4 linked regions of the Lytechinus pictus genome follow. The protein of the gene in region 4 purifies or fractionates together with the protein of the main gene of each other region. This does not show direct contact. Links are inferred from orthologs where the notes say so. Each region holds a gene or a part of one and is shown on either strand. Other genes may lie near its edges. The genes, in order: E3 ubiquitin-protein ligase HECTD1-like, GRIP and coiled-coil domain-containing protein 2-like, CTTNBP2 N-terminal-like protein and ubiquitin thioesterase zranb1-like.

Region 1 (7,200 bases), on a different chromosome or scaffold from region 4:
ACGGAAAGATAAGGGGATTTGTGTAAATTATAGATTTCAAAGCTCTCTGCCAAGGTGCCCCTCCTTCATAATGCCTCTGGCAATCAAGATTAATTTTCCATCATGAAAGTCCCCCATGACTTTATAACACGATGGCATGTTTGGCACAAAGAAATGGTTTATATTCACTTGGTCTACAAGAACTTGGTCTACTACATGTACTCAGTTCAGTTTAATACCAAATAGGCTAAACCCTTTGGTCTACTACCAATTTGGTCCAATTGCTGTTTGGTCTACTGCACTTGGTCTAATGTCTACTTAGTTCAATCTTACAGAAGATTAATGCCCAGTTGGTCTAATGTCCACTATTCATTTATAGTTTTTACTTTGTTAAAAAAAAATGAAAATTTGATTCAGAAAGAGTTTATCTGTTCATATTGTATTAGACCAATACGAAATGAGTAATGTATATTAAACTGGACATTAGAAGAAATGTTAAATGGGCTTTGAAGTGGTAATTAATCAAATGGTAAGTAAACTAATAAGTTGTAGACGAACTACATGTAGGAGTAGACACCATGTGGGATTAGACCAAATGGAAAGTAGACAAAACAGGTGTAGACCAATTGGCAATTTACCAAGAATTTAGTATAAAAGAAACCATTACTCAAGGTACATGCACGTTTACCTTAATGCATTGTTCAGCTAAATCCTTGCTGGTTCGACAAGACAGCTCGACAACAACCAGACGATTGCAAAGGGCCTTAACAGCGCCATCTACAGCCACGATCCTACGAGTGCACTCCGCTGAGACATCCAGGTAGTAGGTGATGGCTCGGGCAGTGACTTCCAGTACGTTGTCCGGAGCATGCTCGTCAAGAAATATACGGCACAGTGCGGGGAGAAAGGTTCTAGGTGGACAGCTGAATAAAAAGAAGAAAATAAAACATATATTTTACACATGACATTACAGGAATATTGTTACTTGTTCATATTGTTCGCACGCTATAACAGAAACACCTACAATGTAGCTGTATCAAGTGCCCTTTTGTATCATCATCATCATTTTTTTCAATGTCCTACCTGTATAACTGCAATTTTGAAGGTAGTTTTGATAGATGAATTTTCACTCTTTTTACAGTGTATCAAATGCTTATGAAAATGTGACAAATGAGTAGAATATTATGACTATAGGCCTTTATAAAATATTGTTTTTACCATGCTTGGAATATGTAGCACGCATACATTATATACATGTGCATGCAAACATTTGCAATGCCCATATAAAAACATTTTAATATAATTTACATCACGGTTTTACTCATCCAGGAACATGCAGCTTTTTATTACCATCTGTATCATATAGAATGAGCAAACACACACAAATAGATAAATACAGTCAGTGATGTGTAAATATGAGTACTGAAAGAAAACTACACTGTATATGACTCAACCCACACATCTTTTACCCAAACAATAATGAAATATGTCCATCTCTATACACAGCTTACTACATGTACATGTATAATGTACCTACTGTTCCTCTGATTGTTATAAAAGTTTGTTAGAGTGCATGTTCATGTACTCAGTAGATGATGTTGGTAATGTTCATGCCATGTATAAAGTTAGGCTTTACTGTACAACATATTGTAAGTAAAGAACCAGAGGATTATTGTTAAATTTTTTTTTGGTGAATAAAAACAGGAGTTTGTACAGTGTAGTTTTCAAAAGGCACTTCACTTATATTTTCTATCCACAATCTTCCAGTAACATAGCAGCCCCCCCCCCCTGCCTTAACATGCAATGTACTGATGTACATATTGAAGACAATATATTGGTGGTATTTAACTAAGTTTAGGGGAAGTTCATCCTGGCGATAAGTTGGTTTTAATATGGATTTTCAAAGTTTTAAATTATGTCCTATGTGAGCAGCTCCCTATACATGTACATTATTCATGCAACAACTTCCATTTAACAGATATGATGAATAATATTATTTTCTTATAGCCAGGGGTATGCCATTACAGGTACAGGTGTACATGTGTCTGATGATAAATCCACTGCATAAATGAAATCAATTATGACTTTTTTGAGAAAATGCAATTTGGTGGAATTTATCCACAGCTATACAGAGCTGCTCGTTTGTGACATCATAATTTCAAATTAAAAAAAATCTTTAGTCTGTTTCAATTTCTTTCACTAATTTTCATCAATCCTTCACCAATATCTTTCTCTAAATTTTTCCAGTTTTATCAGGGTGAAATTACCCTTAAAAATGTTTTGAAAATTCTCTCAACATTATTGTGGTACATGTACATGTATCAACATAAATAGGCCTACATGTACATGTAAATATATGAAAAACAGAACTACATGTAGTCCCATAATAAAACCATAATTCATTATTTTGACTGAGTGTCAATCCAAACCATTGAAAGTTGACAACATACTTGCGCATAAATACATGTGCAAACGTAAAATCAGAAAATTATTTAGGCATCATAATAAATGATTCTCAAAACTGGAATGACCAATGCACGGCTTTACATTATTATATATAAAGATCCAACAAAATAATGGGAATTATTAGAAGGAATGTTGTTAATTGCCCAATATCCATTTCAAAGTCTTTTTTAAACATTCGTTCACATAACTTAGAATCATGTATGGGATCCCCACAGAATAAATACAAAGACATGACTGAACGCATCCAAAAGCATTACGTAAAGATAATGTCCAAAGACTGGACTTCAAGTTATGTGTTATTAAAACAAATTAATATGAACTTATTAAAAAAAGATGTAAATACCATCGGCTTGTTTTTTTTTATTATAAGATTGTACTCAACTTGATTAATGTAGGAGAAGTAAACACTGTAGGTCACAGAGCAAATAGAATAGGAAGAAATTATCACACTTACATAAGATGAATGTTCCATTTGCTAGTACAGATTATTATATTTCTTCTGGTAGTAACATGTAGCAATCAATCACTTGTTGAAATTAGACACTTGAAATATCATTTATATGCAATTTTAGTATTTTTAAGAATTAATTGTTGTCTCCCTACTGTAGTTTTCATTTGGAACTTCAATCTATAATATGATATGCCTTGATATATGTTGCCTATTTGTATTCCTATCTAATGTCATTGATTATGTATTTTGTTTTATATTGTGGGATGCCTACTTGTATGGGTTTTTTCTAAACCTTGTTTGGCAATCTAAGATATGTAAAATTTGTCTGAATGAATTCAAATCAAATCAAGTGCAGCACATGTCTTCAAAATGTTGTTTTCACTCTGCTTTCAAATTCAAGGTCACATATTTCCACCGAAACTGCCTTCAAGTGAGGCAAGAGTGGCAGCTGCAGCAACACCTAATTGCCAATTTACTTCCCTGCGTGCTGATAAAGTGCATATGAAATTTATGGACAATTTTTTCCCCCATGCAGGCGCACCTTCAGCATATTTCCCCCACCAGACACATTTTGTACACAGATGTTCACAACCAATTACGGGATATATTTGTTTACACCGTGGCCAACATTTTCTCACAATTTATTACAATTTATGAAACTTAGATGTTTCTCAACATGAGTTCACAGTACCAGTATAAGTATTTCTTTTTTTTTTTTCATAACTGGAATTAAGAGACAGTGAAAGAATATTGATAGCAAAGGAACAATTTATTCTGCTGGCAATCTTTTGCAATTAAAGTTAAATAATCTCATTTTGATAAGATTATTATTTTCTAAAATCATTATTCATATTTTATATTAATAAGAATGATGAGCAAATTGTCATAATATATGTAAAATGGTATTTATTTAAAAAAAAACTGATAACAATTATATATTGTTCATCAACACCAAAATATATTAAAACTGACAAAGTGACTAACATAAATTTTGTTAAAATTCTTTTACAAATTACATGTATAATCCTTCATTGTACAACGCCTACTTAGCTTGTTGTACGCGAGCAAATGGGAGGCTGAATGTCAAACATTCGTACCGTTGCACAAAAGACGTACCATCCAAAATGTACCGTCCAAAATGTACCGTTGCACGGCTTTAGGAGGTGACGTCACAATACGATTTAATTCATTGCGCTCGGTAAAAATGAACAATACGCGTATAAGCCAGCTGGCTAAATGCGCAAGGCTGCCCACGGTAATGTGCGCTTGTGGAATTTTGCTTTCTGCTTTCGGTATTTTTGCTCCCTTTTCATAGATTACTATAGGGATAAACTCTTTGTTTTTTCATATTTTCGCTAAATTCCGAGGCGTTGTACAACACAAATAGCGAATATCCTTATTCGTGCAATGGTGCGAGATTTCGCATTCGGTGAAAGAAAGAAACGCTCTATTCAACTCGGCTCACGCCTCGTTGAATAGAGCATCTTTCTTTCACCTCATGCGAAATCTCGCACCATCGCACTCATGCCTATTCGCTATTTGTATATTGTTCATCCATGTTTGCTTTTCAAACATTGTTTTTCTCAGCATGAATATTCCCTTGCTATGATACGATAGTCAGAACATTTGGGACACATTGCAATTCAATTAATGATTGAGTCATACAGACATGAATACTTTGTCACAGGAATCCTGATCGCTCCCTGGCAATTATCCAAAACATATCATACAATGATCATCATGATGCGCAGTGTAAAATGTAAATTATGTACATTGTGGTTTGCTTTGTTTGTAAACCTGACTTTGTAAAAATTGAGCTACATACGTGTACAGTGTATTTCCAGCACTGAGAACAAAATGAAAACTCTTTTGACATTTAGAATCAGAATGCCAACTTTGAACGTATACATCTTGAGATGATGTCATGTGCAAAATCATCTTATCCATATTGTACTGAGTTTATATTCTACTTAAAAAGAATCTTAGCGTACACCTGTACTGTACATTGTATAGTATGAAATGGGTGCAAGAAATTGCCTAACCATTGCTTTCACATCATAACATGTCTATTAGGGCAATTTGACGCCTGCCTTCCGTTCTCTTCTCGCGACTCGCTCAATGCCCGCAGCAAGGACATGATGTGAATGTGAATTAAGTCCTTGGATGGCAATGCCGTGTCTATGTTGTTAATATAAATAATTGTGATAAATGATAATGGTACAGATCTTTAGTTTACTCATAATTATTACAAGCATAAAGTGAGACAAACAAATCAATGAAAATCGACAAATGCAAAATGGACATGAAAGTAATATTCTAAAAAATAATATTAATACAGTTCCTTGCGAGATGAAAATACTAGGCAACTGTCTTTTTCTTTCTTATTTATAAAAAAAATGTCAAAATGATTTCACCCTGCGAATAATCTAATGCATCAAATGTTACAGACTGATATCTCTTCATAGTTTTTTTTTCAATGTTTTTCAGTTACTAATAGCCGTATGGGTACTAGTATTCAACCCGGCATAATTCAAAGATTTTGACATATTCCCCAAAATATTTAGAAATAGGGAATTTATCTTAATTTCATACCTTTGTTATTTCCAGGGTAATCTGTTGTCGATATTTTCTTTGTCAATCTGTCGACTGTATGCGCGGAGGATCGAATTATGCGGCGATGGCCTTTTGCACTGAATGGTACTAGTATTCAACCTAGTGAGGATTGATAGCAAATCTCAAAAGGGTTTAGATTGCTAAATTAGATCTAGATCTATGTAAGTCTCTGGCTTTGATTAATTCCCTGTTTGGTCTCATCTCAAATGGTCTAGTCCTTAGTCGGATGGGACAAGGGCAGATTGAGAGACAGGGCCATCTTTCATCGCTAGGTTGAATACTAGTGCCGACGGGTTGAATACTAGTACCAAAATCCGTCGCCGTATAATTCGATCGCCCGCGCACACAGTCAACTGGTTGAAGAAAAAAATAACGGAAAAAGAATAACCAGCATTTGCTCTTGGAAATAAGACGGGTCTGAAATTCAGGTAAATTCTGTATTTCTATATATTTGAGGAAACTCTCCAAACGGGTTGAATACTAGTGCCCTTACGGTACTTCATTAGTTCATTGTATGGCATACATAAGGGAACTTATTTTACAGGGCCTATTTTAGTTTCCTTTTTTCATTTTCAACGATAAATTGGTACATATATGTACAGTATGTTGTTTCTTTTTTTAATTGAAAGGCATTGTAGTGGTATTCTGTAATATCTTTAAAATTAAATGTATTTCATTTGTATATGATTGCATGCATTTTATATAGGGCTACAATATACAGTAATAACCTGTTTTTAATGGGAATATGAAAATAAATCATCAAACAACAACAGGCTACTGGGGAAAATTGTATTCATTTTTTATAATCAATTAGAAATTATATTCAAATAATCAGAATTCATAAGGGGGAACAGCTAGCAAATGACATCACAAAATTAAAACTGGGTTTGTGCGTTTGATGGATTTAAATGTTCATTGTGTTTGTTAGCTAATATATTTTCCTCCTTTTTCTGGGGACCGACATAATTTCAAGGCAAACTTCCTCTTTAAATAAAACCAAGCATCTATTTTCATGAATTATTTGTTTGGAACCCCCCTGGTAGTGTGAGATATTATACCCCTATATGCTTAACCTCTTGTTTTCCTATCCCTGTAGCCACTCTTGAGCATCAAAACACAAACATGAATTGGTATACATATGTTTACAAAACATTTAGAGAAATACAGTGTACATGTACATGTACATACTGTACTGATTGACTTACAAACTCCTTTGTTAAAAACTAGCAGTCACCAGGACTACATGTGATCATACATGTACATGTACATGTACATGCACTTGGATTATTATTTTCATTTTACATGTACCGGTACCTGTGCAGTAGTGCTTAAATACTAGACAAACAAAACCCCAGAAAGCACAACCTCAAGATCATTTTCACAAGTTACGCAAATAGTAGGCTAAAGCCTAATTCACTGGGTTCAAGAGATACATGTAAGAAACTTGGATTAATAAAGATAACAAAAATAAAAAGTTTTACTACATGTACTGTAGCTTGTTTAGATGAAAGCCTATAAAGATGCTACATGTAGACCAAAATTTTATGACTCTATATGAAGTGCAAGCATTTTTTAATTTGGATTGGGTTGTCTCCATTGCATCAATACTACATGTACAGTAGACCGATCATGATCATGACACAAAGCTTTGTCACAATGAGGGGATGATAAATAGCTGATTTTGACAATCT
Region 2 (7,306 bases), on a different chromosome or scaffold from region 4:
CTCCGGCACCTCACCATGCACAGGTAAAAATTTGGAAAGAGTTCCATATGCACCCCCACCAAAAACAACAAAAGATTGATGAGACTTCCGCTTCGTTCACTTCAGATTTTTCTATCACTTTTTTACTGTTGCCTACCGCAGTTGGGACTCGAACTCACCTCGCTTTATCTGCAGTCAAGACCTCTTCCCGCTATGCTAGCAAGAAGCGCTGATACAGGAAGGGGTATTTTAACGATTCTCAGACGATAGTTCGACTAATCTAGACTCACAGACACTTTACTGACTAAATAAACCGATGTTTATGGACAATTACACGCTCTATATCCTGCTTGAAATTTGACGGAATAAAGCCATATTTTGGTATGTATTTTCACTCCCCCATCATATACGTTCTATATTAGGGCTAACTTTAGATCTGAACCTTCTCCATTTGTGGGGGTAGCCAGGAGGTTCCTCGAGAGTATAAATCATTCACTAATGTGTGATTACTTTCCACTGAGCCAGGGATTGCATCCCATTCGTGTTCGTATACCATTAAAAAAAATGAAATTTTCGCCCCCGAGATTTCCACTTTCCTTCTAAAAGATCTAGCCCTAAATCATATTAATGGGATACAACTTCATTTCCGACATTTATACGATATTGATTTCATTTTTAAACAAAAATTCATTAAAAAAACTAGAAATATATTTTGAGAAGACGGGGAAAAACCTTGCAGATGTTTGCCATCTTGTTCTCTTTGTTCTTCGCCAAGCTACGAGACGCATATCAGAATTCAGAGGATGTGCGTCTCGGAGCTTGCCGAAGGACAAAGAGAACAAGATGGCGACGTATGCATTGGCAAGTTTTTTCCCAGTCTTCTCAAAATATTTTTCTCCCTTTTTCAATAATTTTTTTGTTGAAAAATAAAATATCATTATGTCGGATATGAAGTTGTATCCCATTTACATGATCTAGGGCTAGATCTTTAAGAAGGAAAGTAGAAATCTTAATCTCTTGGCGAAAATTTCAGTTTTTTTCGCAGTACACGCACATGAATGGGACGCAATCCCTGGCTCCATGGAGAGTAAGCACACGTAAGTAAATGATTTTTACTCTCTAGGAGCCTCCTGGCTAGTGGGGGGTACATATGGAAATTTTGACTTGACTTTGCTCTTTTGCTACGCTACGACTACGTCTTGGCTCTTGCCAAAAATTTTAGTGTCAAGCCCTGCCCTGGGCCTGGCGCCTCGCTGGCTGGTAAATATATTCATATCACCAGTAGAGGCGCTGGTTAGAAAATTGGGATCGTCCCAGTTTAAAGATTTTTCCACACAAGAAATCTGGAAAAGTTCATTCACCTGTCAAGTGCCGAAACCAATCAAGTGCGCTAGTCAATGTAAACAGATCAGGTTTCATAACAAGAATATTGGAAGACTGTAAGTCATGAAAAATAGATGGTGAACTGGGGCAGTGGGGGAATTGAGGTCACTGAATCTATTTTTAGCACTCTCAATTCCCGTAATTGATGTCTTTGTCCCGTAGGGGGAAGTGAAAAAAAAAACGTCCCCATAAACAAGGACAGTCTCAATTTATCAAAGACATGATTTGTCTTGGTTTATGATGAGGATATCCTTGTTTTCTGGGACAATCCCAATTTTTGGACCAGCACCTCTACTGATGATTTATACTTGTGATGAACATGATGAATTGAATTGGCAAGCACTTATGGGGAAATTCATTGAAACTTGAGAAAGCGTTTAACTGGAGGCACGTAGCCAGGCGGCTTCTTGAGAGTAAAAATCATTTACTAACGTAGGCTTACTCCAGGGGTGTGAGTGGTCACAAATAAAAAGATCTGAAAATAGCTGAAGAGTGTTGAAAAAGTCTGAAATAGAAAGAGCTCCCATACTTTTTGTACAGAGGAAGGCCAAAAATAAGCTGAAATTAAGCTGAAAATCAAAACAAAAAAATCTGAAATCAGATAAAAATCTGAACTCTCACACCCCTGGCTTACTCTAAACAAAGCCAGGGAGTCCTTCCTATTCATCTGCGTGTACCGCAAAAAACCCTGAAACTTTCGCCCCCGAGATTTCTACTTTCCTTCTAAAAGATCTAGCTCTAAATCATGATGTACATGGGATAAAACTTCATTTCCGACATTTCTACGCTCTCGTTGTTATTTTTAAACAAGAATTCATCAAAAAATGAAAAAATATTGTGAAAAGACGGAAGAGACTTGCCCGATGTTTACGCCGCCATCTTGTTTCTTATTGTACTTCCCCAACGTTACGCGACGCTCACGTCCGTAACGTAACTTATCCCATGTACATGATTTAGAGCTAGATCTTTTAGAAGGAAAGTAGAAATCTCGGGGGCGAAAGTTTCAGGGTTTTTTTGCGGTACACGCAGAGGCCTTATCGTGAAATTTGTCACCTCTCTTGTCGTGTGTGTCGGTGTGTGTGCGAACGTTGTGTACAAAGTCAATGGAAGTGGAAAGATGTCACCACCGCTGACGAAATAAACGGCAATGAATGGACTGGTGACATAAACCACGATAATGCCCGCAGATGAATAGGAAGGACTCCCTGGCTTCGTTTAGAGTAAGCCTACGTTAGTAAATGATTTTTACTCTCAAGAAGCCGCCTGGCTAGAGGCACGCCCAATTCCAAAGCCACAGTTAGAAATTAGCGAAGCCCGAGCGACATGCCAGCCGGGAGTTGCGGGAGCCAGCGCATATCGCATCTGCACTCTCACATCAACAAAACGCTGCAGTGGCGGGCGCAACGCAGCAACACACATTCATCACACAGCTCTTCAAACGTACTTGTTTGGTTAAAACACGAACACAGCTAATTTAAAATGTATCTAAATATTCTCATCAACACAATATGCAATAATCATCAAAGGTAGATAAGAAATTTATGGAATTAAAGACAAGTAAAACACAATCTCACCCATCAAGTTGCAGGCTTTTCTACGTGGCCAAATTTCTTGTTTGTATCCTTGTATGGGAAGCTAAAGAATCGGAAGCTCCCGGAAGTAAATTTCTCCAAATATATTAAAATTTGATGATAAAATTAATGAAAAATGTCAGTTACATAAGCTGATTCAAATATAAAAAAATTTCGATATATATTTTTGTCTTACATTTTGAATTATAAAGAATGAGTCATCATTCTGTAGATATAAGCATTAACTATCTAAAAAAAACATTGCATACCGTTTGGTGCTTCATAAAAATCTTAAAGGAAATTTTCACTACTTCGAAATCTTAAGATTTTCCCCCTTTTTGACCAGTGATGATTTTATCAACACGAATAAAACAACCATTTATATTCTGGAAATTCATTCCGAATTATCTGTTAACTTTCGATAGAGTTCCTTTCTGGAGAACACTTCCACAGGGGGACAACATTTTACGCAAACTTTCAATCCTCGGTCCCACGCATTTGAATACCTGTCGCATACCTCGGCGACCAACATCAAATTCTTATTCAGTCACATTCACAACTTCTCAACTTCTTGCATCGGAAGGTGAAGCACTGATGGATGGTTTTCCTCTGAAGAGTTACTCCGCAGCGCCATGGATGGAAAAAATGCAGAACATTCCAAAGCAAAGAATAGAGGTAGTATGATGGGCTTTTTTTTAACAGACAAGTCTTTTTTAGACTTATACTAGTATAGAGTACTTAAAATTTAAGTCTAAGTCTAAGTAAGACAAGTCTAACTTCTAATTCTATCTCTTAAAAAAAAAAAATATTTCTTTTGATGGCCAATATGTTGGATTCGACTAACTTAACCTAGGTCATCACAAAATAGTGAATAGTCCTGAAGCAATATCTTTTAAAAACCTGTCCTAATATTTCCTTCTTTTTTCAAAATTTTAATCGAAGTTTCGAGTTCAATGGGAAAAAAAGTTTAATACTAATTTTGTGATGTAGTGTAGGAAGTTAATATCTCGCTAAAACAACCATACAGAGACATGAGAGAACAAAGTTTCGGTCCATGAATCAAGATAATATATCTGAGGTAGATGTAGACTTAGTCTCAATTGTAAAACTTTAAATGGTATGCCAATGCAGTACACAACACACACTAAAAATCATTAAAATAACACTTTTTTGACCAAAATTACTAATATCCATATACCGGTAGTTGAAATTTATTTTTCATTAGTAACTTGGGAATATAATTTTTGTATTCACCAGAGCGCTCAAAAACTTGAATTTTGGGCATATTTTTATGTATGCCCTTCTATTGGTGGAAAGTAATATGGCAAGAAAATTGTAATTTTTCAATCTCTATTTTTAATTTAGAAAAAAATAATTAAAGAATCAAATCTACTTAAGAGTCAAGTTATACGATGATTAGCTGTAATGGAATCTGACAGTGTCAAACAATCAAGCATTTGTTCCAAAGTAAAAGAAAAAATAAGTCAAACATTGCCAACAGGGAACAAGGTTATATCATAACCTTGTTTGTTGAATGAGTGATCTGAGGTAGATGTAGACTTAGTCTTAATTGTAAAAATTTATTGCAAACGATTATTTATTATTAGTCAGCTTATGCAGTGTTCCTGTTAGTAGACTCGGCTCATTTTAAGTCAATAAAAATATATATTTTTATATCAGGTTGACCAGTATTATCATTTCTATTTTTTTTACCATAGTTTGGTCTACTAAAATGGACATTTTTAAGTTTACAGACTTTATGATCAATTATTAAAGAAAAAATTAAATTTGGATTCCGAGATAATGAATCATTACTTTCAGTGTTTTTTTTCTTTGGTTTAGTTGTATGATGTATGACATATCTTTTGTAAATTTGCTTGAAACGACTTGTATGTTTTAGAGTTTACCAATTTTTTACAAATTCATGAAAATGTGATTTAAGTACCGGTAAGCAATGCCTGCATTGATGATTTGTGAAAGATCGCAACACAACGTTATTGATTTAGAGACTAAGATTATTAAATTTCTTCTTTATTAGCTTGCCATGCTGAACACACCCATACATAGATGGCATCTTCCTGGAACACCAACAAACTTTGAAGTATTCATCAAAAGAGATGACATGACTGGGAGCTCCTTATCAGGAAATAAGGTAAAATCTCACATATATAATTGGGTATTTTTTGCCTTTCAGTTGCATCCAAAAATCCTGAAAAATTATATTTTCATCAAAACAATTTATTTTGTTTTTCATGATTTTAAGGGAATTTCCTTTCAGAGTAAATTGCAAGATTAACTATTTTGCATTTTAAAAATCGAGGCCAAATCTGTGAAGAAAAAATGTTTAAAGACCCTGATTTTTTTTGCCCACTTTATTTTTACTTGTAGAAATAGTCTCTGTAACAAAATTCAGCCCCCCTTAAATTATTTTGCCACTGGTTTCTACTTGCAAGAAATTCAATTTAATATTAAAGCAAATTAGAAAGGGTATTTGTTTTATTCTTATAAACTCAATTACTCATATAGAAATGCACATAATGGTGTATATGACATGTGCATACCGGTAATAAAGAGATGATATTCATGCAGATCATTTTTTTGTGTTTGTTTTTTTATAGTAAAGTATGATTATGTTTTATATGAGAATTTTAGTAGAAGTTAATTGTATTGTTCACTTGGTCTATTTCTAATATAGTCTCATACCACTTGGGCCAAATCCATTTGGGCTAATTGCCATTTTGATTATACTACAGTACACTTGGTCTAATGTCCACTTTAATGGCCTAATTCTTGTTTAGTCTAAGTTCCTAGATGTTCGTATTTCCATTTTGTCTACTAATAAATAACAAATTGATTAAAAAACAGTTCATCTTATCATATTGACTAGGTTTGTTAGTCCAAATAAACAAAACGGTATAGCCTAATTGAAAAAAAAGCTAAATGGCTGTTAGACCGAATAGGTTAGTAGACAAGCTGGGTCCTGTAACACAAAGATTAGTGATCAATCGTATGCTTGAGTTCCACGATTGCTTGTCCATTGTAATCAAATGAATCAATCGTAGAAAAATGTTCTACAATTATTGCTAAGCTTTGTGTCACTGGTCCCAGATCATATGAGATGAGACCAAGCAGAAAGGAGACATAGCAGGTGTATACCTAGACCAAAAGCTTCGGTCTCTGTTAAATTGGTTGTTCCGCTGAACTCCGTTGGCTCCACTCACCAAATACAGAGACCGAAGTTCTAACTCGATCTGTACAGGGACTCAATGGCCGTATGTTTTAATGTATTAAGTTCGGATAAACCAAGGAAGTGAAGTTGCGTGACAGCCAAAGTAAATCACCGTTTTTGTCCTTTTAAGCTTACTTTTTCCCCGTTTTGGTGCATTGCAGGACAAAAAGGAATAATAATCTTTATTTTTGTCTAGTTCTTTTTATATATTTTATGAAATAAATACAAAAATCAATGAGCCCCATCGGGGAGATTTTGCATTGTTAATCCCCTAACGGCAGCTGCACGATCGCTAGCCGTCTGTGTACAAGGATAAATAAAATAAAAATGTTAAAAAACTCCTCGAAACAGACGGCTGCCAGCTGTCTAGTGTAAACCAAGAGGCAATGTACTGAATATATTACCCTCTTTTCTCTCTGTAGATTCGTAAGCTTGAATTCTTGTTGGCAGATGCAGTCAGCCAGGGTTGTGATACCGTGATCACGTGCGGTGGGGTAAGATCCAATCACTGCAGAACAACAGCTGTGGCAAGCAGACAACTTGGTATGGACTGTCATCTTCTGCTTAGATCAGAGGCAACAGTGAGTGTATATCAATTTCAATTCAATTTCAATTTCAATTTATTTGCTCATAAAAATCCATACAAAGACATACATATACAAAGTATCATATTCACAAAATAGAAAAAACAACAACAACAAATAGAAATAAACATTGGATTGAATATGATAGGGACAGCAAGAAAGGAACAAGCCTTGTGATTAGCTGACCCTATAACATAATAATTATACAAATACTTCAATAACAAAGATAGAAAAAATCACTAAACTACAACAAAGGGGGGGGGGGGTGCCTATAATGCCTGAATGAAATTTATACAAACAAACTTTATGAATTACTATTTAAAATAAATTGCCTTGATTTTGACTTAAAAACATTTAATGAAACTAATTGCTTGATGTCTACAGAAATAGAATTCCAGAGTTGTGGTCCTTGAAATAAAATTGAGTTTTTATATACAGTTGAGGCTAGAAGTTTACATACACCCAGGAAATTCAAAGAAAAGTTTACACTTACCAAACATAAAATTTACTGTATCTTATAGAATATTTGTGCTATCATGACGAATATATCAAATAAATGA
Region 3 (7,123 bases), on a different chromosome or scaffold from region 4:
CTAATTTTCCTTATCAGCCTTTTCTGTCACTTTTTTCTCCAAGCCCTTCAAAACTTTTTTTTGTGAATGCACCGCCTTGTCAGTTGTCAATCCCCCACTTTCATGGGGTATATCACCATAAACTTGAAGACTAATGACTTGTAAGGAAGCTGGGATCTCTAAAGGCTTCCCAAATTTCTTAGACTACCAATCTTTCCTCGTTTATGTTCCGTTCCCTTCTACCTTCATTTAGCCCGCTTAAATAGCGTTATCTGCATCATGCAAAAACTGCGATAATGATGTACAATTTCCTACCGATGCTGAAATATACAGCTCAAGAATGGTTCGCATGTAGACGAATAATTCAAATAGTGATGCATGTTGCTTTATTAATCAATGTTTATTGAGGTGAATCCAGTTGTTAATGATCAAAATGGTCTGTTTTGTTTGCAGAGCCAAATTATTTGAACAAAATAATCCATTATCATGCACAAATTATATTTCAAAAATAATTAAATTCCTTACAATTTTTTTGTAAAGAACTTTTGTGATATAATGATGAGCTGCATGTATATACAAAGACTGGGCACCAAGTAGTATACAGCTTTACAGCCAGCATAGCTTTTCATTCAGTCCGGGGGGGGGGGGGGCGATTCACAACTATAACCATGTTTGATATCAATGTCAATCTATTTAGTTGGTGCCGTTTCTGTGCATTAACCTAAATGTACATAATGAATATCAAAACAGGTAATACATGTCGCAAATGTAAATTAATTTTTGTACATGTCATGGAGAAAATGTAAATTAAATTTTGTAATTCAGGAGATTGATATCTTGATGTGGTATTAGAATTTGAGATGGACACCAATGCCAATATAAAAAACAACAACAACTCTTTGTACTTTCTGAATCAAGTTCCAACAATAGTTACTATAATTTATGTTTCTTGTTTAGCAATACATTGAGGAAGAAATCACAGTATAGAATTACATGTATAACAGCATGATTGGTGAAATACTGTACATGTAATTAGATCATTTTTTTCAAATCAATGAACATCACTTTTTTATCACATTGTACAAAAATCTCTATGGAAATCACACATTTTTAAAAATATCTATACAATGATTATGATATGAGTGATATTATGAGAGCAATAATATGCAAAGTGTGTGACAATTTTGAATGGGACTGTATGCAACTTGATAGCCATGCTCGATACGCTGTTTAAAATAATTCCCTCCCATAATGTATTGCAGTAAAAAAACTGTGACTTAAGAAAGCAGTTCTTATCCTCACAGAATACCCCAAAAAGCTGAAAAGCAGATAGTCAAAGTCAATATCTAATATAACATTTTGAGGAATAACTGTTTTTAGATTTCTGCTAATTGACATTTGATAGCGCTGCTGTACTACCAAAGGTTTGCCAAGAACGATATCAACCAAACATCAAGGCTAGATTCTGGAAACATCTAATCTACACTAGGTGCATTCAGACTGCCTCGAGGACCAGAATATCTGTTAAATTACGAGAACTTTTTCAGGCTAAAAAATAACTGATGATTATAGCCCTCATTCATACCTACCCGAAACAGACCCATTCAGGCTAAGTTCTCGACGTAACGAGCATGCGCAAGATGGTCTGATTAACAGGTACATGTAAAGGCTTTAAGTGTGTTATTCAAATTCACTAGCTCAGCAGCCACCTATGGCGCCCAAGCCCAACTACACATTGGCTTGAGAAAGTTAGAAATTTGCTTTCATAATGCAAAGACTTGGTATTCCCCGACTTCAAGGTGATCTGAATGCGCCTGCTGAAGATGCTAGAAGGTAAAGGTTATTGCGCTTAGATCAATATTGGTTTCCTGAATGCAGTGGTATAAACAGGACAAGTTGGAAATGACAGTTGTTGCTTGATAGAGGTGTTAATGACATAGCGCAAAAGGCACCGGTGTCTTAGTTTCAAACAACACCAGCTGCAGCATTATGATTGTAATTGACACTTGGCATTAAGACATGTCTTTTGACTCTATTAGAATGCTAGTCCATACGGGTCGAGGCGAACACACTTTAAAATGTGCAGTTGCATATTGTAAGGCTGTTCCCAGCAAATTTTTCTTCCCATTTTTCACTTAGCAATACCAAACTCAATGGTTTTGATACTTGAAACTCAGTGACAAGAAAATATTTATTTTGGTTGGGAGGGCAGGGGCATTGTTCCATGTTTCACAATTATAGAGGGGGGGGGGCAAAAGTGAAAAAGGCCAACAATTTTTGGCACATGCTGTGCACAAAATTATGATACAGAATTTTGCACACCAAGCACTCTGAAAACTTGACATTAATGTATGTTTAATAGTACTTTTGCAAAATTTAAAGGTTCTATAGGGCTAATTTCCAATGCTTCCCCCCCCCCCCCCATTCATGCCTCTGTAGGAGCAGCTACTCCGTCGAGATTTCCAAGGGAATTATTAAATGCTAAAGAAAATGTTGAAAACAATAAGAGTGAAGAAAAGCCCAAAGAAATTCTTCCCCCTAACAGTGAGAAAGTGTAGGCCTACACACTATAAATTCAAATTTAACTTGTAAATTTCATATGCTGACAATATTTTCACAAAGAATGCCCTGATCTAGCAACATCAGGGATGTGTTTCAATAAAAAAAAGATGAAGGCGTAGTAACAGTCAGACACCTGTGCTTCTCAGCCAATCAAAATCACTGAAATTTGTCAGACAATAAAAGTTGATGAAAAACTTTAAGAACTATTGCAGTGAGACAACTCACTTGGAATCAGAACATGCACGCATATATTTATGTAGTCTACAGAGAAAATGTGAAAGGATCCTGCAATTATTAAAGCCATAGCATTGATCTGGACAACTTGACATTGAAATTTTCACTCACCTTCAGGCTGTTGATGACCAAGTCCCTGGCTTGGAGTTCTGCCTCCAGTAACCCTAGAAGCTTCATCAAGTCAGCCTTGGAGAACTCCATGATCCCCTTCTCTTTCTGATGCTTCTGAAAAGGAAAGACAAGAAAGAAGAAAAAGGTGAGAAAGGAATGACAACATTAAGAAAATGTATGAAACCTCGGGAAAAATCCAATCGGCTTGATACAAATCATACAATACTAACAAATACATTATTATTCAGCAAAGACTCACTTTACCAGGCGTACAGGTTCATGTAGGAATCCAACAATGAAATATTCTTCCCCTGTATGATTACGTCAAGGAGATGCATGGAAAAGAGAATCTCCTTTGTTTATGTCAAGAACTGAGCTACTGTGGGTACCTAGACATTTCATTAGTCATCCAAACAAGGTGTGCAGAGTATCAAAAAGGGTGATATGCTGGTAAACCAACCACACAATCTTTTCATGGAAAGATGAAAACCAAACATGTTTATCAACTGAGTAGATAAAAAGGAACCTTCTAAGTTTTTTTGAATGACCAGCTCAATTCATCATCTACATGTATACACAAGATATTCTATTCAATCCATTCCAATATGCTGACAACCAGTCAACCAGAAATCCTATTGATGTAATAGCTGCATGAATATTAATACAAGGAAAAGGTGCCCAGATTAGAGTACACTAAAATCACAGAGAGAAATTATCATGAACTGTTGTCATCATAAAATCCAAACAAGATCAAGATCTGCATGACCCAAGGTGAGCTGATCATCAAAGAGGTCCACAGAAGTTTTTCGAATCACAAATTTGGACAAAGATCCTTTGCCCTACACACACTGGACAAACGTACACACAGTGACTGAATCAGTCATGATGCAATTGCGACGCACCAGTCTTTCAAACGTGCTGCAAGGCACTGTGCAAAGTCATCACTAGTCTCAAGACTCTTAATCAGGGCAGCATATTGTGAAACAAATCATCAGTGACTTTTCACTGACAATTTTTTAAAGAGCTCTTCTGCATTTCTTGCATTCGATCAATAACACTGTATACAGAGGTAAACAAATCAAGTTTGGGTGTACGGTACGCTTTTTTCCAGACTGTACACAAAATGTTTTTCAGTGTACAATATGTTTCTGTTGTTGCTCCTGCTGCAGCACGTGTAGCTGAAAAATTAAGATTCCCTGGATTTCACAAAATGACCTCATCAGCTGCATTCTAAATACCATCATAAATCCTGAGATTTCCCGTTCCAACCCTTATGACTGCTCCTTGCCTACGAACGGAATCCCCCTTACAATGAAATGAGTCACAAACACACACACATAAATGGGGACACTAGAGATCTATAATCTCATATATTCAGCACCAACATTCAACAAAGAAAAAAGAAATTATGCCCATATCTTGCAGCGAATATTGCACGAGCAGAATTGTAAAAAAAGATGATGCATTTTAATGAGTCATATGATCCATATCGAGTGATTTGTCACTCTAGCAACAGCATTCCTAAGTCAGTATGCATATACAGACAATGAAAAGAGTAAGAATGAATAACTACTGGTACGGTAATAAAAAAAAATGGTCTATTAAAACAAATAATTCATTGCAAAAAGATGAATCAGAATGATAATTGCTGTACAGGCCTATTATATCAAATCTGTTTTGGGACATTTCATTTATGGTCAATTAAAATCTGGGATATGAAATTCTTTGTAATTACAGGACTTTGACAGTTGACAAAATATGGACCTCCCCCCCCCCCCCTCCTATATAAAGGAAATCTTGGATCTGCCCTGCAGAATACCATGGGGAATAGGCCCAAATACTAGTTCAATTCTCCTGCATAAAAGGACATTAGAGCTAATTCATTCACATCACTCATGCCAGTTTGATGGTAATGAAGCTTTGAACATGATGAAATTCTATTTATATTGTACATATTGTAGTCCCACATGTATGGACTTTCATGTAGGATGATCGAGAGTGGCATCAACTAAGAACGATCTTACGAATGAAGAAAGAAGGGAATATTCTTATTGATAGTTTCCATCTATTTTAAGAAAATGTGGAATATAGATGGGCATTTAATGGATGTTAAAATGTAAAATGTGAAATTTCATCAACTTTTGTGATGGCTTTTTTTCATAGAGTCTAATGGTTTTCAAAATAGAAAACATATAAATGTTAATGCTAACAGTCGTTTAAACGCTGTTTAAACGTTTGGACTCAGCCCCTACATGTATGTATACGAAAAAACATCAGCATTACACTTGTATATGTATGCCTGCATTCAGTACTATCCCATCGATACAATGAACATGGATGGGGAAACATTGACATAGGCCAGGTCGAAAACCACCTATAAATTTAGGCCTACATCATATATGTTTTAATGCAGCCTGAACCAGGGAAGTTGGACCATGGAAAATTAGGCCTATAGTATATACATGTACATACATGTATGTAGTTGACTTGAGTGTCTCATTAAATGTAAACGTGTGAAGTCTTTGACACCTTCCTATCAAATCAAATTTACAATCCTATTTCCTTATACAGCTAAGGTGTTAAAGACTAGCTAGGTGGCTTTAGATATATTACTCCATAAAATCTACCCCCATCTTTGTTGGACAAGAACCCTTTCTCTATTGAAGTGTTTGTTTTATGAGTCATACACTACAGGTTCCCTAATGAAATTTGATATTCCACGACTGTGTGCCCTTTCACAGTGTACAATGTCAATCACAAAGTAAACCATGATTATATTATACCCTTTTTACACAGGCTAAAATTTCCTTAACCCCGTACTATAGGTGGGGCTAAATGGCAATTTAGCCCCACCTATAGTACGGGGTTAAGCTTAGCCCACTTTCTTTTTACACAGCATTTTTGCAAAGTGGGCTAACCCCACCTTTAGTACGGGATTATTTGGCCTTGCAAAAAAGCAGGGTTATCCCAGCAATTGCGGTGCTAAGAGCGATAGTACGGGGTTAAGATCGCTGGGGTTAAGATCGCTAGTGTAAAACGAAAGTGGGCTAAGCTTAACCCCGTACTATATAGTACGGGGTTAAGGAAATTTTAGCGTGTGTAAAAAGGTACGAGTGAAGTACTTGTACTACGAATGATCGACAAAAACCACTAGTCCGGGGTTAGCGAGTTTCGTGTGTGAAAAGCAAGCATTCCTTATCCGGGGTTAGCGATAACAATTTGGCATGTGTGAAAAGGAAAAAAACATAGTACGGGGTTAAGGATAGTACGGGGTTAGCGATAGTCCGGGGTTAAGAAAATCCTGTGTAAAAAGGGTATTAGCCTAGTGTCTGTCTCGTGGCCTTTTACTGTCTATCTAATGGGATATCTGACTTACAATGTATGGGGTCTATCAAGACTCTTTTGGGGATAAATCCTGGATCCATCACTTTATACCCCCATCTCACTAGATGGCGATTCCACTGCGATCGTCAAAAATCGACAAAGCGTGGTATAACGTAGCTTGATCGTGCCTTGATCTTTTCAATCTTCTCCGTCGTACCTTGATCTTTTCTGAAGCGGCAAGGATCGCCACCATCTTCCTGGTCGCCACAAAATTTTGAACATGTTCAAAACTTACGTAGCGAGATCGCGGAGGTGCTAAAGCGCATCACAATCGAGTCATGAGCGTATTACAAACGACATATTCGTAGCTGTAACGGAGCCCCAACGCATAAAGCGTAGTATAAGCGCATTAAAAGCGGCACCGATCGCCCGTGGTTTTCAGGCCCGTTCCCAAGACAATTCTGCTACCCTGCTTCCGTTTACAAGGCGACTGACTTGCGCTTGACACGCTTCACACAGCTTCCACCACGACGCTTTCTTCTTTGGGTGGCAAGTGGCACACGTTCTCAGCCCGCTACAGGCGTTCGCGTTGCACTTTTGCTGCGCTGCTGATGACTGGGCAGCGATTGCGCAACAACCGTCCGCGCTGCTATAAAACGCTGTGCCGATGGTGGCGGATTATCATATTTGCAACTGATTACGAGGCGATACCACGGCGTTTTCAAACATACCTCCCACAAAAAGGACCAGAAAAGGGAAAGCTGCCCAAGCTACCCCTCTTAGGCCGGCGGGTTATGGTGGTGGTAGAGGAGGAAAAGGAGGGGGTACAGGAGGAGGATGAAAATCTTACTGCTGAGCCAGCTGGAAAGAGAAAAAAGACGCTCACATGTCTTGATGACGAAATGGGTTACCT
Region 4 (7,193 bases):
GCTGAGAATGAGTGCTACTGCTATCTTGTTCAACTTTTACTGACTTCTAGCCAGACTAGCCCCCATCCATTTAGGATACAAGCCATCTAACCCCCCTCTCTCCCTGTCTCTCTCTCTTACATCCCTTGGCTTGGGCCCTTGTCATAGGAAGATGTGAATGTATAGTATGCTTGTATGTTGATTCTCATTTCTTTTTATTGTTATCTAATTTAACTCATGTGAATCTGGTATTTATATTGTGGGCAGATCTTGAATCCAGATATGCACACTATTCATATCTACAATTTGCATTATACGATTTGGGCCCTACATTGCATCCATTGTTGAGCTACATATAGGCAGGTAGGATGTGTGTAAATCCATAGGGCACTAGACATTAGGAGTAACATTAAAATTGGTCATTACATAACACATCTGTATATTTCATGCATTTCTTTGTGATAAAGTGAGTGTACAGATGTTAAAGAAAAGCCAGGAAGGTAAATTAAAAAGAAACCTTCATGTGCCCTACAATACAGGCTTCACGGGCCTAATCACTAGAGGCAGGCCATAGATATTCATTCGAGCCAACCCATTGCTATTTTTTTTATTTTGATATGGCTGATTAACAAAGTGTATGCATATGATTGTCCATCTAACACTGATTCTATTTTTGGTAATTATTGAACTTCCTTTTCCCAAATTGGGAAGAAATATCACCAATGTTGGACTATATTTTGACTGGCGGAAGGATTAGGGCTATTTTGCTGTTTGAGGTGATCAATCTGCTCCCCCCGACGGTGTCTTCAAACACGCCAATTTATTTTTAAAATGAGCCGGTCGAGGGACCCTTTTCTGGTCAGATATGGATTGCCAGATATATATCCTATCCACTGGTAGTAAACATTCGACCCCCGAATTTCACCCTTATTTTTTATGAATTTTTTTAAGTGCCAATTTAACACACGAGTCTATGGGGAATGATTTAGGCCTGTGATACCATATGGCAAGAAAATTTTCATTTTTTTATCTCTATTTTTAATTACGAAAAAAATAATTTAAAGAATCAAATTTACTTAAGAGCCAAGTTGTATGACGAATAGGTGTAAGGGAAACTGTCAGCATAAAAAAATCAAGCATTTGTCCCAAAGAAAAAGAGAAAATAAGCCAAACATTGCCACTCTTATTTTGCCACACATGGAGATTAAAGTTATACTGAGAACAAGGTTATATCATATACCTTGTTCACTGAATGAGTGCCCCTCCTCAATTCTTGACCCTATCCAGATCCAGGACCTTTCTTAGGCCTAGGGCTAGGCTTTTGCCTGGCGCTAATGCAGTTTCGCACCGGTCGATTACCAGCATACCTCATCACCAGTAACTGTTCACTAATGTCCTAGCAAGTCTCTCAGTCACATTTTGAGGTCAATATACCCACCGCTTTTCCAAATATCGCGATCAGGAACGGCTGCATTTTGGCTTCGCTCTTGACATCGTCGTGCGAATCCTCAGTCATGCATTGCTTCGCTTGGATTTGCCGTGCACCATATTCATATGGACTGAAGCAACCAAATCATGCGAACATGCTGCATTAGCAAAAACAAACTGCCGGCATTCCGCAGGCGAGTCTTGGTCGCTAATTCAGTAGTACTTAGTGACAGATCAACATTTTATTACGGCGAGCAGCGAAGCCAAGTGAAGCGGTGTTGGCGTTACCGATCGCGATATTAGGAAAAGCAGTCGGTACGATCTGTCACTACTGAATTAGCGACCAAGAATCGCCTGCGGCATGCCGGCAGTTTGTTTGCTAATGCAGCATGTTACTGTTTTGTTAGCATGATTTGGTTGCTATTCAATGCTAATTAACTTCAGTCCATATGAATATGGTGCACGGCGAATCCAAGCGAAGCGATGCATGACTGAGTGAGGATTCGCACGATGATGTCAAGAGCGAAGCCAAAATGCAGCCGTTCCTGATCGCGATATTTGGAAAAGCGGTGGGTATATTGACCTCAAAATGTGACCGAGACTGAGAGACTTGCTACATACAGTAGAGGCACACGGCCAATATGGGAGACTCTCTCCAATAGGGGAGACAATCTCCCACATTAGAGCTTTGCAAAACGACAAAAGAAACAACACCAACAAAAGCACAATTTTTTCCACCCAAAATTTTGTCTCGATGAGGTCAGAAGCCCATTTGTTTTGTGTGTGATTGACAACAAAAATCCTTATCAAAACAAAAGTAGACGGTGAATTTTTAAAGTAGACGGTGAAAAGGGGTAATTTTTCATGAGGAATCTGCTTATCACATTTTTATTTGCCGCCAAGGTAATCCTTTTGCAGCAAATGTAAACAAAGAAAATTGGTCTCCAAAACTGGAGACTGTCTCTGAAATTGGATACCCAAATTCTTTAAAAAAGTCTCTGATATTGGAGATAATCTCCCACATTGGACTTGGAGACAGTCTCCAATATTGCCTATTGGCCGTGTGCCTCTACTGACATACATTTGTGAACAGTGAGTTACTGGAGTGGTGGTGAGATACATTACATGTAATATCCGTAATAAGTACCGGTATGCTGGTAATCGACCGGTGCGAAATTGCATTAGCGCCTCTTGCCCAGCACAACACAGCAGCAGCGTAAAAACACAGAGACAAACATTGATAAGTAGGTAAAGCGAGCGCGAGAAAAGCACAAGCAACGGCCAGTAGCCACATCACATTGATTCACACAATAATTACGGTACCATACCTACCGTACCAGGTCCAGGCTACCGAATCTGTTGTGCAGACCCCGGTGTGCAGTGCAGTGCGAAATTATTATATTTACAGGCACAAAAAGCAGGCCCATCAACCATTCACTCTCCCACCAAATTATATTTTTTACAGTTTGAAAATAACTTTTAACATATTTTTTTCAACATACATAAAGTATTTACCTGTATATGAGCCCAAAATCCCGAAATTCATTAGATATTCTGTTGCTCATTCTGTGTTGTTTTTTCTTTCCTTTTAAATGTTGCCGATTTATGTAACCCAGAAATTGCCCCCAGAAAAATGAGATTTTGTTTATAAATATTCATAGAGATGTATAAAAAAATAAAAACCTAATTGAAAAATCAGAATTCTCCTTAAAAAAAATATGATGTGTTTTGAGAGTAATAATCCTATAAACTTGACTTGCAGGAATTTTGTTATTGTCTCAACACAGGGCATAGCTCAGCACGTCGGTCACCACTGAATTAAAAATACGTAGAATGCCACCCAAGCAAAACACAGCAGCGCAGCCAAACTAGTTACGTCAGGGGGGTTCTTCTTTTTATTTGGCAACCAGTCAATTTGACTATTTTCGTCATCATAAATATTATCAAAACAGCTGTCATATTTCTAGGTCAATTGCTCGAGCATAATCACGAAACATTCATTAGAGGGGTAGGACTGAAAATATTTATGTCTAAATAAATAGAGTAAAATTCATAGAGCGAAAGGCTAAAACTTTCCTATAAATCAGATAACTAAGAGCGAAGTTATTGAATTTGAAAGTCAAAGGAATGGCCCAGGCTGAAAATATCTATATCTAAATAACAAATCACAAAGCAATATGCTGAAAATTTCATCGAAATTGGATCACAAATAACGAAGTTATTGAATTTTAAATAATTTTATCAATATTTTGTGAAAACAGGCACATCGCCGGGCACAGCGTCATGAATATTCATTGGGTGGGCTGATGATGTCACATCCCCACTTTCCCTATTCTTATGTTGTTACATAAAATCATAAATGTTTCATTATTTCATACATGTGTAAATGATGTCTCTCCATTATGATGAAATAAGTTGCGGCAATAAATAACTAATGCACTAATCAGTTTTCAATCATATATTGTTTAGTTCTTGCTTGAAATTTTTTGAATAACCTAATTTCATATAATAAAATACACAAGAACAAGTGGGGATATGACTTCATCAGCTTACCCATGGGCGGAAATCCCAGGGGGGACAGGGGGGACGTGTCCCCCCTACTCAAAATAGTAGGGGGGGACACAATATCAAATGTCCCCCCTACTATTTTTGGTCTTTTATGATGGTAAGAAATACATCATTCTAAATCGAAAAAAACATGAATTTTGGGACGAGATGACCTTACTTTGGCGCTGATAACCTTTCTATTTGCTTGTCAAATTTTCCCGCCCCTTGTCTCCATAGGCGGATCCAGGGGGCCGAGGGGCCCGCCCCTCCCTCCCCCCCCCCCCCCCCCCTTGGCGGAGCAAAAAAAAAAGAAAAAAGGGAAAGAAAGAAGGAAAAAGGAGGGAAAAGAGAGGAGAAAAAGAAGAGAAGGACGACGAGTGCATAAAATAAGATTAGGGGAAGACTTGGAAAATAAAAAGAATCTTTCGTGCCACTATATAAAATTTGAGCTCGCGCTTCGCGCTCGCATTGCCTGTTAGGTGATTTACATATCTTGCTCAATATGGAGTTCGAATATCAAGTTTGGAAGTCAACATACAAAACATATTTCACCTCGGAAATCGAACTTTCATTATTTTGTGTAATTTATGAATTGGTTTTTAAAAAGTGCTCTGTAAAAATGTCAGTTTTATGGTCTGAATGTTAACATTTGCTGCTTGCGCTGCGCGCTCGGAAATTTTGGTTTATCAGGTACTATTTTCGTGTACTCCATAAAGTTTTTAAAATATCCCTTTTCAGGTCTGATTGTCAAGACGTATCAGCTAGCACGCTGCACGCTCGTATTTTGATTGGCGACTTATATAAATGTTTCAATATTGATTATAACAAACTACTTAAAATTCCCTTTTCATGACAGTTTATCAAAAAAATTAGCTCGCGATTTGCGCTCGCATTAATGGTAAAAAATATAATCACAAAAGTGAAATGTCTAGTTTTTATGCCATGATATCAGATTTCGCGCCCTCATTAGGCATTAATAAATATGATATTAATTTACTAATTCAATTGTCCCTTTTGTTTCATTTCGCGCTTAGCAAGAGGAATAGGAAGATAGTCATCATTTTCATATGATGACATGTCGTAAGGATGTCCCGGTCCTATGTCAAAACTCAAAGTAATAATAATATCAGCTCTTTTTTAAGTGCGATCCATATCCACCTTACAATTTTTCTTCAAAGTGCTTGAAATATAAAGCTGAAATTTACTCTTTTTTCAGATCGGAATATCAAAGTTTCATGATTTTCATGATTAAAGTTGTATTTAGAATGTCTAGATTCTATTGGTCTAAATATGAAACACGCTCGCTCATGTTTATTCAGATTCTCAACTTGTTCTCTAATTTAAATCATTATCCAGTTTCAGATCACAATATCAAAATTTTTCTGCTCGCTCTTTGTGCTCGCATTATTTATGTAGGAAGACCCCATATTACTCATCCTTTTGATGATTTACAAAACATGAACAAAGTGGCCCATTCTTAGGTCTAAATCTCGATTTTATTTTCTGCTCGCGCTTCGCGCTCGCATTAATCGTTAAGTTATATAGCTATCCTGTTCACGATTGCAAAAACTGATTATAAAAATTTCCATTCTATCTTTAGAAAATTCAAATTTTTTCAGCTCGCGCTTCGCGCTCGCATTTTTTGATTGTTGAAATATGTAACGCCTTCATGGCTAAGTGCAAGCAGTCCTTAACAGGTACCAGTTCAAAACTTATATACAAATTTTCTGCTCGCGCTTTGCGCTCGCATTATCAATATTCATCCTTTCCAGGATTTACAAAACATGAATAGAGTGTCCCGTTCAGTAAATATTATATAGGATTAAATCTCAACATTTTCCGCTCGCGCTTCGCATTAATTGTTTACTTATATAGTTATTCTGCCTGAGTTACAAAAAGTGCTTAGAATTTCCATTCTTTAGGTGAAAATGTCAAAAAATTTATTATTATTTGATTGGTAAATGCTACTTTAACCGGTATCTTTTCCATCAATTCATTTCTGCTCGCGCTTTGCGTTCGTAGTAATTATTAGGTTGTATGCACATCTTTTTCAGGATAACAAACATTGCCCAGAATCAGTTCAAATTTTAGGAAACATACATAAAATTTCCCAAAAAAATTAGCTTGCGCTTCGCGCTCGCATCATATAAATAAGGATTATGATATTATATATTAATTTATAAGAATGCTAAGAAGTGAATAATGAGGACTACCCCTTCAAAGAAACAAACAAAAATCATCTTCGAGCTGCCGATCGGGGAAAATATGGCTGAAACAAATTTCCGCCCCCCCCCCTCTATTGGCGAAGGCTGGATCCGCCCCTGTGTCCCCCTACTATTTGGGAGAGATTTCCGCCCCTGAGCTTACCTAATATATTCATAAAGACATGCCTAGAACTGTTTCACCGGAATATAATGCAAATCTTTAAAATTCAATAACTTTGTTATTTGTTATGGCTGCGATTTTGATAAAATTTTCGGCATTTTGCTTTGTGAATTTTACTCTTTATTTATTGAGATATAAATATCTCCAGCCTGGACCATCCCTTTAAGCAATATTTTGTGATATTATTTATATGCAGATAATGCACGTCATCATGAATATTCTCAGGGCCAGGGCGTAACAGGGGTCGGTGGCCAGGGGGAGGGGGCAAGAGCCAATTTCCCATATCATGGTAACAGGATTTTTTATGATTGTACCCGAGCATTATAGGTTGAAGCTCAATGCGTGATATATAGGGGCATAGCATATGGCGCACGCGGCAAAAAGATTAAAATAAGTCTTGAGCGAGCGAAGCGAGCAAGAAAAAATCACATTTTCCTGACAAGTCTGAGATTGATTTTTACAAGGAGTATTCAGAAAATAACATCATATCTTACATCTTCCTTTTAATTCCTTTCATCTTTTTTTCTCGGTTGTAGAACTTTATTTGGGGGCCAATTAATGCTATGTGGATCGGGTCCAGGGCAGTGGTGGCACCATGAATTTTAACCTAGCTAGGGGGAGGCAAAAGCATAATGGTTAGTCGGCGTGCATTTGACTGTCCGAAAGTCCACACTCACAGCTGCAACACAGGGAACAGTGGTTTTTTATGAACGTAATATTGCAGAAATCTGGATATATCTTTACAGGGGCCGCGGAAGCGGGGGGGGGGGGCTGGGGGCTTCAGCCCCCCCCCCCCCCACTTTTTTCCAAAACCTTGTACAAAAACGTAAAAATGACCATATGATTGTGATTTT

Evidence for each region.
Region 1: the proteins of ubiquitin thioesterase zranb1-like (region 4) and E3 ubiquitin-protein ligase HECTD1-like purify together in Homo sapiens (affinity purification with mass spectrometry; 5 studies listed by BioGRID and IntAct, with this or other methods). This does not show direct contact. The link is inferred for Lytechinus pictus from reciprocal best matches to the Homo sapiens genes ZRANB1 and HECTD1.
Region 2: the proteins of ubiquitin thioesterase zranb1-like (region 4) and GRIP and coiled-coil domain-containing protein 2-like purify together in Homo sapiens (affinity purification with mass spectrometry; 3 studies listed by BioGRID and IntAct, with this or other methods). This does not show direct contact. The link is inferred for Lytechinus pictus from reciprocal best matches to the Homo sapiens genes ZRANB1 and GCC2.
Region 3: the proteins of ubiquitin thioesterase zranb1-like (region 4) and CTTNBP2 N-terminal-like protein purify together in Homo sapiens (affinity purification with mass spectrometry; 4 studies listed by BioGRID and IntAct, with this or other methods). This does not show direct contact. The link is inferred for Lytechinus pictus from reciprocal best matches to the Homo sapiens genes ZRANB1 and CTTNBP2NL.

Annotation. Positions count from the first base shown.
Region 1 is NC_087251.1:34,599,237-34,606,436, forward strand, and holds the start of E3 ubiquitin-protein ligase HECTD1-like, read right to left. Parts: upstream 3,002-7,200; 5' UTR 668-3,001; intron 1-667. UniProt on the Homo sapiens protein: E3 ubiquitin-protein ligase which accepts ubiquitin from an E2 ubiquitin-conjugating enzyme in the form of a thioester and then directly transfers the ubiquitin to targeted substrates.
Region 2 is NC_087260.1:21,965,665-21,972,970, forward strand, and holds the start of GRIP and coiled-coil domain-containing protein 2-like, read right to left. Parts: upstream 3,014-7,306; 5' UTR 2,937-3,013; intron 1-2,936. Other genes in the region: uncharacterized protein LOC129279614, read left to right, coding at 3,282-3,608, 4,972-5,085, 6,585-6,743. UniProt on the Homo sapiens protein: Golgin which probably tethers transport vesicles to the trans-Golgi network (TGN) and regulates vesicular transport between the endosomes and the Golgi.
Region 3 is NC_087247.1:2,833,124-2,840,246, forward strand, and holds the start of CTTNBP2 N-terminal-like protein, read right to left. Parts: upstream 3,002-7,123; 5' UTR 2,977-3,001; coding exon 2,887-2,976; intron 1-2,886. UniProt on the Homo sapiens protein: Regulates lamellipodial actin dynamics in a CTTN-dependent manner. Associates with core striatin-interacting phosphatase and kinase (STRIPAK) complex to form CTTNBP2NL-STRIPAK complexes.
Region 4 is NC_087256.1:1,015,451-1,022,643, forward strand, and holds the start of ubiquitin thioesterase zranb1-like, read right to left. Parts: upstream 3,017-7,193; 5' UTR 2,923-3,016; intron 1-2,922. UniProt on the Homo sapiens protein: Ubiquitin thioesterase, which specifically hydrolyzes 'Lys-29'-linked and 'Lys-33'-linked diubiquitin. Also cleaves 'Lys-63'-linked chains, but with 40-fold less efficiency compared to 'Lys-29'-linked ones.